Daphnia pulex: one gene and its partners. The protein of the gene in region 1 interacts with the protein of each later gene in a biochemical or structural test. Links are inferred from orthologs where the notes say so. Each region holds a gene or a part of one and is shown in the gene's direction. Other genes may lie near its edges.

The links.
Region 2: the proteins of ADP-ribosylation factor-like protein 2 (region 1) and tubulin-specific chaperone D-like form a complex in vitro, tested with the Homo sapiens proteins (2 studies listed by BioGRID and IntAct). The link is inferred for Daphnia pulex from reciprocal best matches to the Homo sapiens genes ARL2 and TBCD.
Region 3: the proteins of ADP-ribosylation factor-like protein 2 (region 1) and retinal rod rhodopsin-sensitive cGMP 3',5'-cyclic phosphodiesterase subunit delta-like are reported together in a solved structure, tested with the Homo sapiens proteins (2 studies listed by BioGRID and IntAct, with this or other methods). The link is inferred for Daphnia pulex from reciprocal best matches to the Homo sapiens genes ARL2 and PDE6D.

The regions. Positions count from the first base shown.
Region 1 is NC_060021.1:207,215-210,247, reverse strand, and holds ADP-ribosylation factor-like protein 2, read left to right. Parts: upstream 1-1,424; 5' UTR 1,425-1,521; coding exon 1,522-1,586; intron 1,587-1,668; coding exon 1,669-1,779; intron 1,780-1,854; coding exon 1,855-2,017; intron 2,018-2,076; coding exon 2,077-2,157; intron 2,158-2,220; coding exon 2,221-2,355; 3' UTR 2,356-2,497; downstream 2,498-3,033. Other genes in the region: lactosylceramide 4-alpha-galactosyltransferase-like, read left to right, coding at 1-100, 170-807, 873-1,221; protein pellino-like, read right to left, coding at 2,521-2,647, 2,730-3,033. UniProt on the Homo sapiens protein: Small GTP-binding protein which cycles between an inactive GDP-bound and an active GTP-bound form, and the rate of cycling is regulated by guanine nucleotide exchange factors (GEF) and GTPase-activating proteins (GAP).
Region 2 is NC_060024.1:14,104,806-14,108,964, forward strand, and holds the start of tubulin-specific chaperone D-like, read left to right. Parts: upstream 1-1,229; 5' UTR 1,230-1,546; coding exon 1,547-1,927; intron 1,928-1,984; coding exon 1,985-2,151; intron 2,152-2,213; coding exon 2,214-2,352; intron 2,353-2,414; coding exon 2,415-2,607; intron 2,608-2,674; coding exon 2,675-2,888; intron 2,889-2,956; coding exon 2,957-3,020; intron 3,021-3,171; coding exon 3,172-3,256; intron 3,257-3,329; coding exon 3,330-3,699; intron 3,700-3,759; coding exon 3,760-3,865; intron 3,866-3,933; coding exon 3,934-4,120; intron 4,121-4,159. Other genes in the region: serine/threonine-protein kinase 11-interacting protein-like, read left to right, coding at 53-124; 39S ribosomal protein L51, mitochondrial-like, read right to left, coding at 345-491, 560-985.
Region 3 is NC_060018.1:861,745-865,228, forward strand, and holds retinal rod rhodopsin-sensitive cGMP 3',5'-cyclic phosphodiesterase subunit delta-like, read left to right. Parts: upstream 1-1,508; 5' UTR 1,509-1,810; coding exon 1,811-1,851; intron 1,852-1,919; coding exon 1,920-1,982; intron 1,983-2,057; coding exon 2,058-2,193; intron 2,194-2,281; coding exon 2,282-2,403; intron 2,404-2,480; coding exon 2,481-2,562; 3' UTR 2,563-2,907; downstream 2,908-3,484. Other genes in the region: uncharacterized protein LOC124188871, read left to right, coding at 1-1,135. UniProt on the Homo sapiens protein: Promotes the release of prenylated target proteins from cellular membranes. Modulates the activity of prenylated or palmitoylated Ras family members by regulating their subcellular location.

The DNA.
Region 1 (3,033 bases):
TTCGGTCACACGTCGCCGTTTCTATTATGGAATGTTTTCATTTTTGGTTCTTTTCTTGATAGTTTATAATTACCTCACGTCAGAAATCTTTCTGCACCAGGTAATTATCAAACGTGTTTTTATATCTTCAATTATTTCTGTAAATTAACGCATTTGAATCACACGCAAGATGGATCCTCGAGTGAACGTGAGAGCTGGACGATCCAGATGTTGTCTGGCGGGCAACACCAGTGGTTCCGACATGTGCGGACGACCAGATTGCCTATGGCCGTGTCCTTATCCTGCCTTGCAAGAACACAAACATTTAAATGTTACTCAGGACAAGGCGTTTTTTCACGAAACTTCCGGCGCCACTTTTCTCAACTTCCGCCAGGCTTGCGTGGTCGAATCGCTGGCCTTTCACAATCCCAACTTGACCGTCCACCTCCTCATGACGGGCAAGCATTTAGATCTAAATTCAGTGACGATGAAAACGCTGAGGCTCAACTACCCCAACGTGCAAATCACCAGCATCAATTTGGGCGACTACATGGTCGCCACTCCGCTGGAGCGTTGGTATTTCTGCACAGAGTGGAACCGTGGATGGTACGCCGTGGCCCATCTCAGCGATGCTCTACGATTTCTGACCCTGTCCAAGTACGGTGGATACTATTTCGATTTGGACGTGATCCAACTCCGACCCGTGACTCCGTACCGGAATTTTGTGGTGGCCGAAGATGGTGACAAACTCGGATCGAGTGTCATTCACGTCGACCATCAACATCCAATCATTCGAACTGCTGTCGAAACATTTGCAGCTGATTACAAGTACTAAATAATTTAATAAAAAACCTTTAGTGATCTCATTTTCAATAGAATTCTTGATAATACAGGTGGTATGTTTGGTCTCATAATGGGCCCGATTTGGTAACGCGGATCCTACAAAATTGGTGTCAAGTTTACTACATTAGCTGGATGACTCCGGAGCGATGCCAAGGGTTCCGGATTTTAGCGCCAAAGTCATTTTACCCAGTGCACTATCATCGATGGAGAGATTACTTTTACAAACGTGGCGACAAACCAGTGGATAAGGTGAACTGGGACGAGTCTGTTGTCGGAGCTCACGTTTGGAACAGCATGAGCTCTCATTGGTTAGTCAACAAGAATTCCAATCAGTATTACGCGCAGATGGCGCGTTCTTCTTGTCCTCTCATCTTCGAAGTCGCACCCGAAGAGTTTTAAAAAATAAATGACTTGTAAATTTACTACATCTCTTATCAAATATACACCTAGTTTTGGACGGAATTTTCAATCAACTTTCTTAAACGTCAAACAGTGACCTGTCCTGTATTTTGATATTTTCTTCCGGTCGATTGTCGAGACGACGCGATACAATTTTTAACCAACAGATGGCGCTGTTTAAACTTGAAAAAAGGGCGGGCCTTATTTGTTCAAGGCCTGCCCCTTGCAAACAAACTGTCAACAACAAACAAGTCAAACCAAGTGAAATCAAATAAATTGCTACTTGCCTCAGTAACCAGAATGGTCTTATTGACCATACTAAAAAAATTGAAACAGAAAGAGAAAGAAATGCGTCTACTTATGCTGTCAGTTTTTTCTTCAATCGTTTGCTATTCAAAATAACTCTTAAAAAATTGCTAACTTGTACAATTTATAACTGTCTTTCAGGGGCCTTGACAATGCTGGCAAAACCACCATATTAAAAAAATTCAATGGAGAAGATGTCCATACGATTTCACCAACTCTCGGATTCAACATCAAGACCCTGGAACACCAAAAGTGCCGATTGACCTAATTCATTATTCTTACTTTTTAGACTGATGTCTTTTAACAACATGCTTCTATTTTTAAAAGTTACCAGCTCAATATATGGGACGTTGGAGGGCAAAAATCGTTGAGGTCCTACTGGCGAAACTACTTTGAAAGCACAGATGGCCTAGTTTGGGTTGTCGACAGCATTGACAGAAGGAGGATGGAAGATTGCACAAAAGAATTACATTCCTTACTACAAGAAGAGGTAGTTCTTTACTTATTGGTATTTTTAAAACACATTTTTACATTCCTACCTTTTAAAAGAGATTGGCAGGTGCAACATTGCTTGTTTTTGCCAACAAGCAAGATTTGCCAGGGTCAATGACAGCTGATGAAATCAAAGAGGTATATTGTCCACTGCCATCCATTCACTTACAGTTAAACTAAATCACGTTGTAATGACAACAGGCACTGAATCTCGACAGCATTGAAACTCATCACTGGCGTATCGTCGGCTGCAGCGCCATGAACGGAGACAATTTGTTGTCAGGAATCGATTGGCTAGTCGAAGATATCGGAGCCAGGATATTTACATTAGAGTAATGTGTATTCTCTCTCTCTCGTTCTCTCTAAAAGTCAGTACGGGCTGGGAGGTTATAAGAAATTGTGGCCGTCTTAATTTTATAATGTACAATCGATGAAAAGAATTAGACAGACCGTGGAAAAAAAAGGCAACAAAACAAAACGGCATTCATTCAATTATTTTAATTAACTATCTAAATGGTCCTGGAATATTAATTTTGCGAAGCCTCGATCCTCCAGCGGTGTGGCGCAAAACGGGCATTTGCCAATGAATCCGTTAGTACCGTGAGGAATAGGAATAGCTCCCCAGTATCTATAATTGTGTTTGATAATAATATAAGAGTCGGATCAATAAAAAAAAGGCCAAGTGTGCAAATTAAAAAGCGATTGCATACTTGACTGTTTTCTCGGAAGCCATATGACCGCAGGGATTGAACGCGTACGTGGGTGGTTCGCGATCCACCCAAAAGGCTGGTTCGAGACCCATGCTGAGTTGTGAGACAGGGCCAACTTTAAGGCAGATGGGGCATGTTCGATCTTCTCCTTCTTTCCCCCAGTGATGCTGGCCCTGAACGTGCCCACATTTCAAATAAACGTACGGAGTCTGATCGGGCGGCGGTAAAGTCGACTTTCTCGGCAACACCAGCGTGTTCAAACCGACTGGACACTGCGGTTTGCCTGCATTCAACTCGTCAACCA
Region 2 (4,159 bases), on another chromosome or scaffold:
TTGTCCCGTCTTATTATTAATCCTTTTGTTTTTCCTAATGTTTTGAACATAGATTGAAGCTGTACGATATCCTTGGGAAGCCGTCTTCTCCGTTGAGCTGGAAATCAACGAGCTCGACGAATAACATCATGTAATATCCCCCTCTCCATTAGACTTATTGTTTTTCTTTATTGTTACTTTGCTGTACACGAATTCTGTGCGAAGTGCAATTATTTTGTTTCAAACGTGAGCCTTTTCAACTTCTAATTCATTACACAATGTGCATTCAGATAATAAGCAATTTATAACAAAACTATTATTCATGTATTTTTTTATTATTACTGCTTATTTAAAACACAAATTCACTAAGCATGTTTCCAGAAGGGTGACTTTGTTTTGGTATTCAAATATTTGTAGAGCTTTTTGATTCTGACATTCAGCTCGGCCCACTTTGTTGGATGGGTGATAGGGTAACCTTCCTTTTGAACAAATTTCCTCTTGCGCAACAGGACCTAAAATCAAGTTTGAAACAAAATGGTCTGGTATACTATTTTCTTTCAGATCTGGAGTTTAGTAGTACCTGATACTCGTTTCCTTTTACTCCTCTTAACCAGTGAGGAACATTGTAGAGCAATTGAGTTGGGTGTAAGGTCTTTTGAGTGATTTCATTTGATGGGCCAAGGATATCGATGTAGTCATTCTGGCCAAAAAGTGCTCGTTTTTCATTCCAGCTGTTTTTCGGCTTGTAATCTGGTATGGGTAATCGTTTGTCCTGGTAAGCTGTTCTGGGTAAAAGACCACCCTTGAAAATTTTGTCTTCATAACCAAAACGTCGGGGAACTGGTCCTTTGGCAACTTTATCAGCGTGGAAGCGAAATCGCACTGTGGTCCATTCTGGACTGAACAAAGCTACAACTTTTGAAGCTTGATTAGCAGTTCCAACTAATGAGCGATATTTCAGAGTTGCACCAAGAGTGGAGATCATGGAACCTATCAGAGATGTCATTTTTCATGGGGTTTGACACTTTGACCTAAAGAAAAATATTCACAAATAAATTAATTGAATAGTTAAAAGCTGAAAGCGTTAAAAGTTCTCTTTTTTTTACCGGTAACTTGCTAAACTTATTTATACACGGGATATAATTAAATAAAATGACTTTAGAAACCAACTAGTTGAAAACATGCAGAGCAGACGACGCAATAAGCGTTGCGGAACATGTGCCGCACTATCATTAAAACGTTAACACGTTAACGGCCTGCCAGGGTCAGAGCCATACACCATGCCAGAGCCCCAGAGCTATAGACTCCTCTGGTTAAGTGTTAAAGGAACTTGCTAGCAGCTAGTAAGAGCTAAGCTTAATAAATTTAACAAGTATAAGGCAATATAAGCTATAAGGTATAGGCTACCGACCGGTTTTTTTTTAAATTATTCATTTCCACAGAGATTTTCACAGTTTAGATTCCTGCTTTTGATAAATACAAATTACTGCCGAAATCATTTGTTGACATTCGGGTTGCTGTTTACTCATACCCTCTTCTTCTTTGACAACTTTTTTGAGAAATCAAAATGACTCTAGAAGTTGCAGATGAGTGCACAGAAAAAGAAATCGATGTCATTGGACTTGGGTGCTCAAAAGAATCTTTTACTGAGCACTCGGAGGTTGAAAAACTCATTGACGAACTGAGGACGTCAGCCCAACATCAGACAAACCAAACGGATATTCGTTTAGTGGAGAGAAACTGGCAAAGGTTTTCGTTCATTCTAGATCAATACCAAGAGCAACCACATTTGATCGATTCACACCTTGATGGACTACTCACTAAAATCATCAACATCATTCGCGAGGAAGGGCTGGATTATGAGGTGAAACATGTGGCCTTCCGATGCCTCTACTTTATATCGAAAGTCAGAGGCTACAAAGTTGTAGCAAGACATCTTCCTCACGAGGTAATGTACTATAGAGTTTCCCTGTGATCTAATTGTCTAAATCAAAATTCTTTCTAGACTGCCGATCTGGAGCCTTTGCTACATTACTTGGAAAACCAAGACCCTGGTGTGCAACTAAAATGGGAGACTCATTACGGCTTGCTTCTGTGGCTCAGCATTGTAGTTAAAATCCCGTTCCACCTTCAGCGATTTGACACCAGCACTTCAGAACCAATCATGGAAAGGTAAGAACAATTTTTTACAATATTGATGTCTTTTGAATCAAGATGAGTTAAATGTCTTTCAGAATTCTGAATGTCTGTAAGAAATACCTGGCTGGGACAACAAAAGCTCAGGACATGGCCTTTTATGTATCGGCAATCTATCTTACAAGGCCTGATGTCAAAGATTCCTATCTACCGGGATTCATCAATTGGGCTCATGAGGTGTGCCCTTTTGTTTTCAACTTGAAAATAACTGTCAAGCTTACTGTTTTCATTTCCAACAGGTTCTTACCAAAGATAGTGCCCAGTTCAAAAAAGGAGTTCTTTCAACGTTGGCCGGCGTATTCAAACATGGGCAAAGAGAACAAATGATGGAGCATGCACATGCTGTGCTGCGTACCATCCTGACGATTAAATTTCAACCGTCAGAATTGCTTATAGTTAAGAAACCGTTGGTGAAGCTGACGCAGCGAATAGGTGAGCCCCTTCTTCGATTCATTCAGCTGCAAGTAATTAAAACGTTTCATGTATTTCTGAATGGCAGGTTTGATATTTTTGAAACCTCGCGTTGCCTCTTGGAGATACCAGCGGGGCAGCAGATCATTAGCTGCCAATCTGCAACAGAGCCAACCCGTTGAGACTAAAGCAGCTATTTCGGTGAATGATGAAGATGACGACGATTACGACGTGCCGGAAGAAATCGAAGAAGTACTTGACGAGATCCTGCAAGCCCTCCGAGACAAGAACCGTGAAGTCCAGTACTGAATTTAAATCTCTTTTCATTTGTTAAAGCAATCCTTTGTCATGATAATCTTATTTTTTACAGGTACTCTGCAGCAAAAGGCATTGGTCGGCTGACCAGTCGCTTATCAAAGAACTTTGCCGACCAGGTTAGCTTAATATTAATATGAAGACGTAATAATATCAACCTTATTCATTGTTGACTTTGTTGTTGTGTGGCTTACATTCAGTAATTCTTGTATCTCTATAGAAAACACTGAACAATACTATTATTATTACAACGATTTAATTATTAATCAGGTAATTGAATCGATCATGGAACTTTTTTCTCTCCGGGAGTCGGATATGGCCTGGCACGGAGGATGTTTGGCTTTGGCTGAATTAGGTATCGTTGTCTTAAATGTTGAAAAGTATATCTAAACGCATAACTAGATGTCTCTCTCTTCTTCATTTTTTAGCCCGTCGTGGATTGTTGTTACCCCAGCGATTGTCTTCTGTCTTGCCTTTTGTGGAGCAGGCCATGCTGTACGATGAGTTACGCGGTAACTTTTCCGTTGGCTCGGCTGTACGTGATGCCGCTTGTTACCTCTGCTGGGCTCTTGCCCGATCCTACGACCCTTCTCTGCTCCAGCCATTCGTCCATCAGTTGGCTAAAGCCCTAGTCATCACCACCGTGTTCGATCGTGAGGTCAACTGCCGACGGGCTGCCGCTTCTGCCTTCCAGGAACACGTCGGTCGACAGGGCACTTTCCCTCACGGCATCGACATCCTCACCACCTGCGATTATTTCGCTGTTGGCTTACGTAAAAATGCCTATCTCCAACTCAGGTGAGTTTCATTCTGTTGCAAATTCATTTCATGCTGATAACAATTCTCTTTTTTCTCCAGTCTTTTCGTGGCGCAATACGAAGAGTACCGACCGCATCTCATCCAGCATTTGGTGGATCGTAAAGTCATCCATTGGGACACGGTTATTCGACAGCTAACATCTCAGGTATGGCGTGGTGGTGCAATTGAACTTTGCTAATTGAACTGCAGTTGTTAATCAGAATTTTTGTTCAGGCCTTGCATCAAATAACGTTCCTCGATCCGGAGAGTATGAAAGTGATTCTTTCTACTCAGATCCTTCCTCGTTGCACAAACCCTGAACTCTATTTACGGCACGGAAGCATTTTGGCCAGTGGCAAAGTCATCAGCGCTCTTTGTCAAGTGGCCAAAGACCATCAACGTCGTCTGCCAGATGAACTTGGTCAGTTACCGCTGTTCATTTCTTACTGAATTATTCCTA
Region 3 (3,484 bases), on another chromosome or scaffold:
AGCCAATTTCCCAACTCCGTCACGCACTCCTCCGCTAATTGAATTTCAAAAAGTTCTTCGAGAGCGCTTTCCTACGCCTTTTATCACTCCAACCGAGAAAAAGGCGCGTCGAGATGTCATACGAACCCTACGATCTCATCGTCGACCTCAGCTTTCATCTTGGAATGTCGTTGAGACCACATCCCCCGCTCGCTCCTGTAACTTACGGAAACAGTTGTTTGTCGATACTGATTCACTTTCTAACTCTGCAAATTTTTCATCGAGTCCATTGGCCCTGTACCTTTCTCCTGATACTGAAAAAGATACTCCCAAATTCTCTTCGCCCGATGGCCCATCACCTGCCTCATCTAGAAAATCTTCTAGGAAAAGTTCCACGTCAGAAAATAAAAAAACTAAATCGCCTGTCAATGAAAATAATGAAGAAAGTTACACTGAATTGAAGAAGTCGATCGAAGGCAACCTAATGGGATGCGAGGCAAGTCTGTCAGATGTTGAGCTAATGGATGAGATTGAGTCGAGCATCAATATGGACAATGATGTCATTTTTGTCGAATCGACATATAAAACAGATGATCATGCGGAAATTGAATTTATTATCCCGGAATCATTTCCTGTTATCTATCAGGATGCCAAACTTGATGAATCATCGAAATCATCTATTCATTCTGCCAACAAGAAAACACTAAGTCGATCATCACAGGAAGAACGTAGAAGAAGCTCACGATTAGCTGGTATACCTTTACCTCTAATATACTCAACTGAACCACTGCCAGACTGTCGAAGGTCGATCACCTCTAAAAGGACACCACTTCAGCAGCTCACTTCTTCAAAAGATAACGAAGTTCTATCCTCTTCTAAGAAGAAACTGCGGGCTGAATCTGTTGATGACCTACCGATACAGCCAATTACGAAAGAAACACCAATTGCAGAAGCAACTCCTCCTTCACAACTGGATGATCGTCGACAGACGGCGAGTTGGAAACAGGTTCGTTTGCAAATTCCACCTTGCTGGGCCGATCTTATTGAAAACCACATCAAAGAAAATCATCCGGACGAGAAGCTCTGGTACCAAGAAGAAGCATCTGCGCGCTGGCCAATTGTTTATTGCAACTGTGCCCAATCCAAGAGAGATTAGATTTCCCGCAACCGCTGGCTTAATCTTTTGTCAAATAGAGAAATCATCTATTGCAACAGAAGTGACAAGTATTTTTTTTTTTTTTTTGATAATTCCATATCAATTTTTGTGCAACAGAAGTGTCAATCTGCCACACCCCTATTTGGTTCTGTGTTCAGTTTTATTTTTTCGCGTATCCCATATTTCTTTTCGTATAAGATGAGAAACAATGGGTCCAATTATATTTTGGTTTACATTCGGTTTATTTCCAATCCAGCAATAAAACTCGTTCAATTTCTAAAACTTTCTTTCATGAGTCATGACTTTGCATTTTGGTATCGCAATACAACCATGTGGCAACGTCTAATGGAATTTCTTCTTATACTCTCGTCTATTGGTTTTTTGTTGACATCAAGAGAGTTGTTACTTGGCCGAGTACCCGGTGGCGGCTCTATATATATAATACGACTTTGTATTGATCCAAGATACCAATCAATTATCCTTATACAGAAAGTTTTACCCCATCTGTGTGTGTGCGGTTGGTCGGCATATACACTTTTGAAAGCGAACTCGTCCGAATCGGGCCTGCAGTCCAAGTGCTGCAAAATTGTATATTGAATAAGGGATACGTTGAGGTGGTCGCCGTCGTCCTCGTGTCGACTGGCCTGCGATTGAGAAGATCTGGAATCGAACGTAATGCCTTCCAAAGCCGAAGACATACTGTCGGGATTCAGAGTGTAAGTTGGTTTTGTCTCTTGGTTGTTTTCATATTTTGGAAATTAATTTAATTTATCTCATCTTGCAGGAACTGGATGAGTCTACGAGAAGTAGACACCGGGAAACTGCTGTGGCAAAACTCTGATGATTTGTGAGTTCTACTATATATCAATTTTAAAATTAGAAAGAAATAATCTATAATATGCTTTTTGACACTTTGTTTCAGGTCCCAGCCTGATGTTGAACATGAAGCCCGAGTACCCAAAAGTATTTTGAATTGCAGAGCCGTTTCAAGGGAAATTAACTTTTCCTCAATAGAACCCCTCGAAAACTTTCGACTGGAACAGAAAGTCCTTTTCAAGGTAGGAGTTTCCCATTTTTGATTTCGTGTTATAAAAACATGTGAGAATCAGAGAAATCTGAAACTGGATGTGTTGTGTTGAACTATAGGGAAGAGCATTAGAAGAGTGGACATTTGATTTTGGATTCGTCATCCCAAACTCCACAAACACCTGGCAATCAATAATTGAGGCTGCACCAGAATCACAAATGATGCCTGCACAAATTTTAAAGTAAAACAAAATTTATGCATTCTTAAATCAATTTGATAGAGAAATTAAAGCCAAAATTATTTTTTTGTTTTGTGCAGTGGAAATGTGACTATCGAAACCAAATTCTACGATGACACCCTTCTAGTCTCAACATCAAAAGTGAGGCTGTTCTACGTCTGACCCGATCTCTGCGTTTTTTCCCATTATTTTGTCGTCTCTTCATTTCACGTTCTCCTGTTACGTCCTTATGGCGATGGAAATAAGCGAAAACCGGCATTTTGAAGCGCTTTTTTACACAGTCTACACGTCGTGTGCCATCTCCTAACGCACCGATTTCGATTCGGTGCGACATCGCTACAATTCCGCTCACACACAAAGCTACACACGCTATTTGTTCGCGATCACCTGCCATACTTCTCGGTCAATATCTCATTTGCTGCTGCCGCTGTTATTCCTGCGCTCCACATTTTACCCGTTGACTGTCGGTACTACATAATAAAAAGACGATTCAATCGGTGTATAAAACTGGGAGCTCATGTTTATCCTTCGCGATCGGGATTTCTGATTTTAGGTAGATGCACCCATGCTATCGAAACATGACGGTCCCGTTTCAATGGGTGAGTCGGCGTTGTGTTGTGCGGGTACATCAGGCAAAGTGGATGTCGTTATTGAGCGGATTATAGTGATCTACTGCGTTGCCCACGTCTTCTGCATCTGCCTCTACTTGACATGGATAGCCATCCAAAATGCAATTATATCCCTACCCCCAGCCTCTCTCTCTCTCTCCCATCTCTTTCTAGTCGATAATTAGATTTCCTCGAGCTCTCCTACTTGTCTGTGTTCCTCGAGCTATGGTTGACTAGTAAATTACATGTCCAGCGGTGTAGAGCACAGTACTCGGTCGTGGGTCAGCCAGCCCCCCCCCCCCTTTTTATGGGGCGATATTTGAATTATTAGAGTGCGGAGAGGATGTGTATTATAGTAGATGGGGTGGGGGGTATCAGGGGAAAGATGCATAAGTGTGTGTCCGTGTGAGAGGCGCAAAGAAGAGATGAAAGGCGACATCACTTGGAAACCATAAGGAGGAGGAGTTAGGCGCATG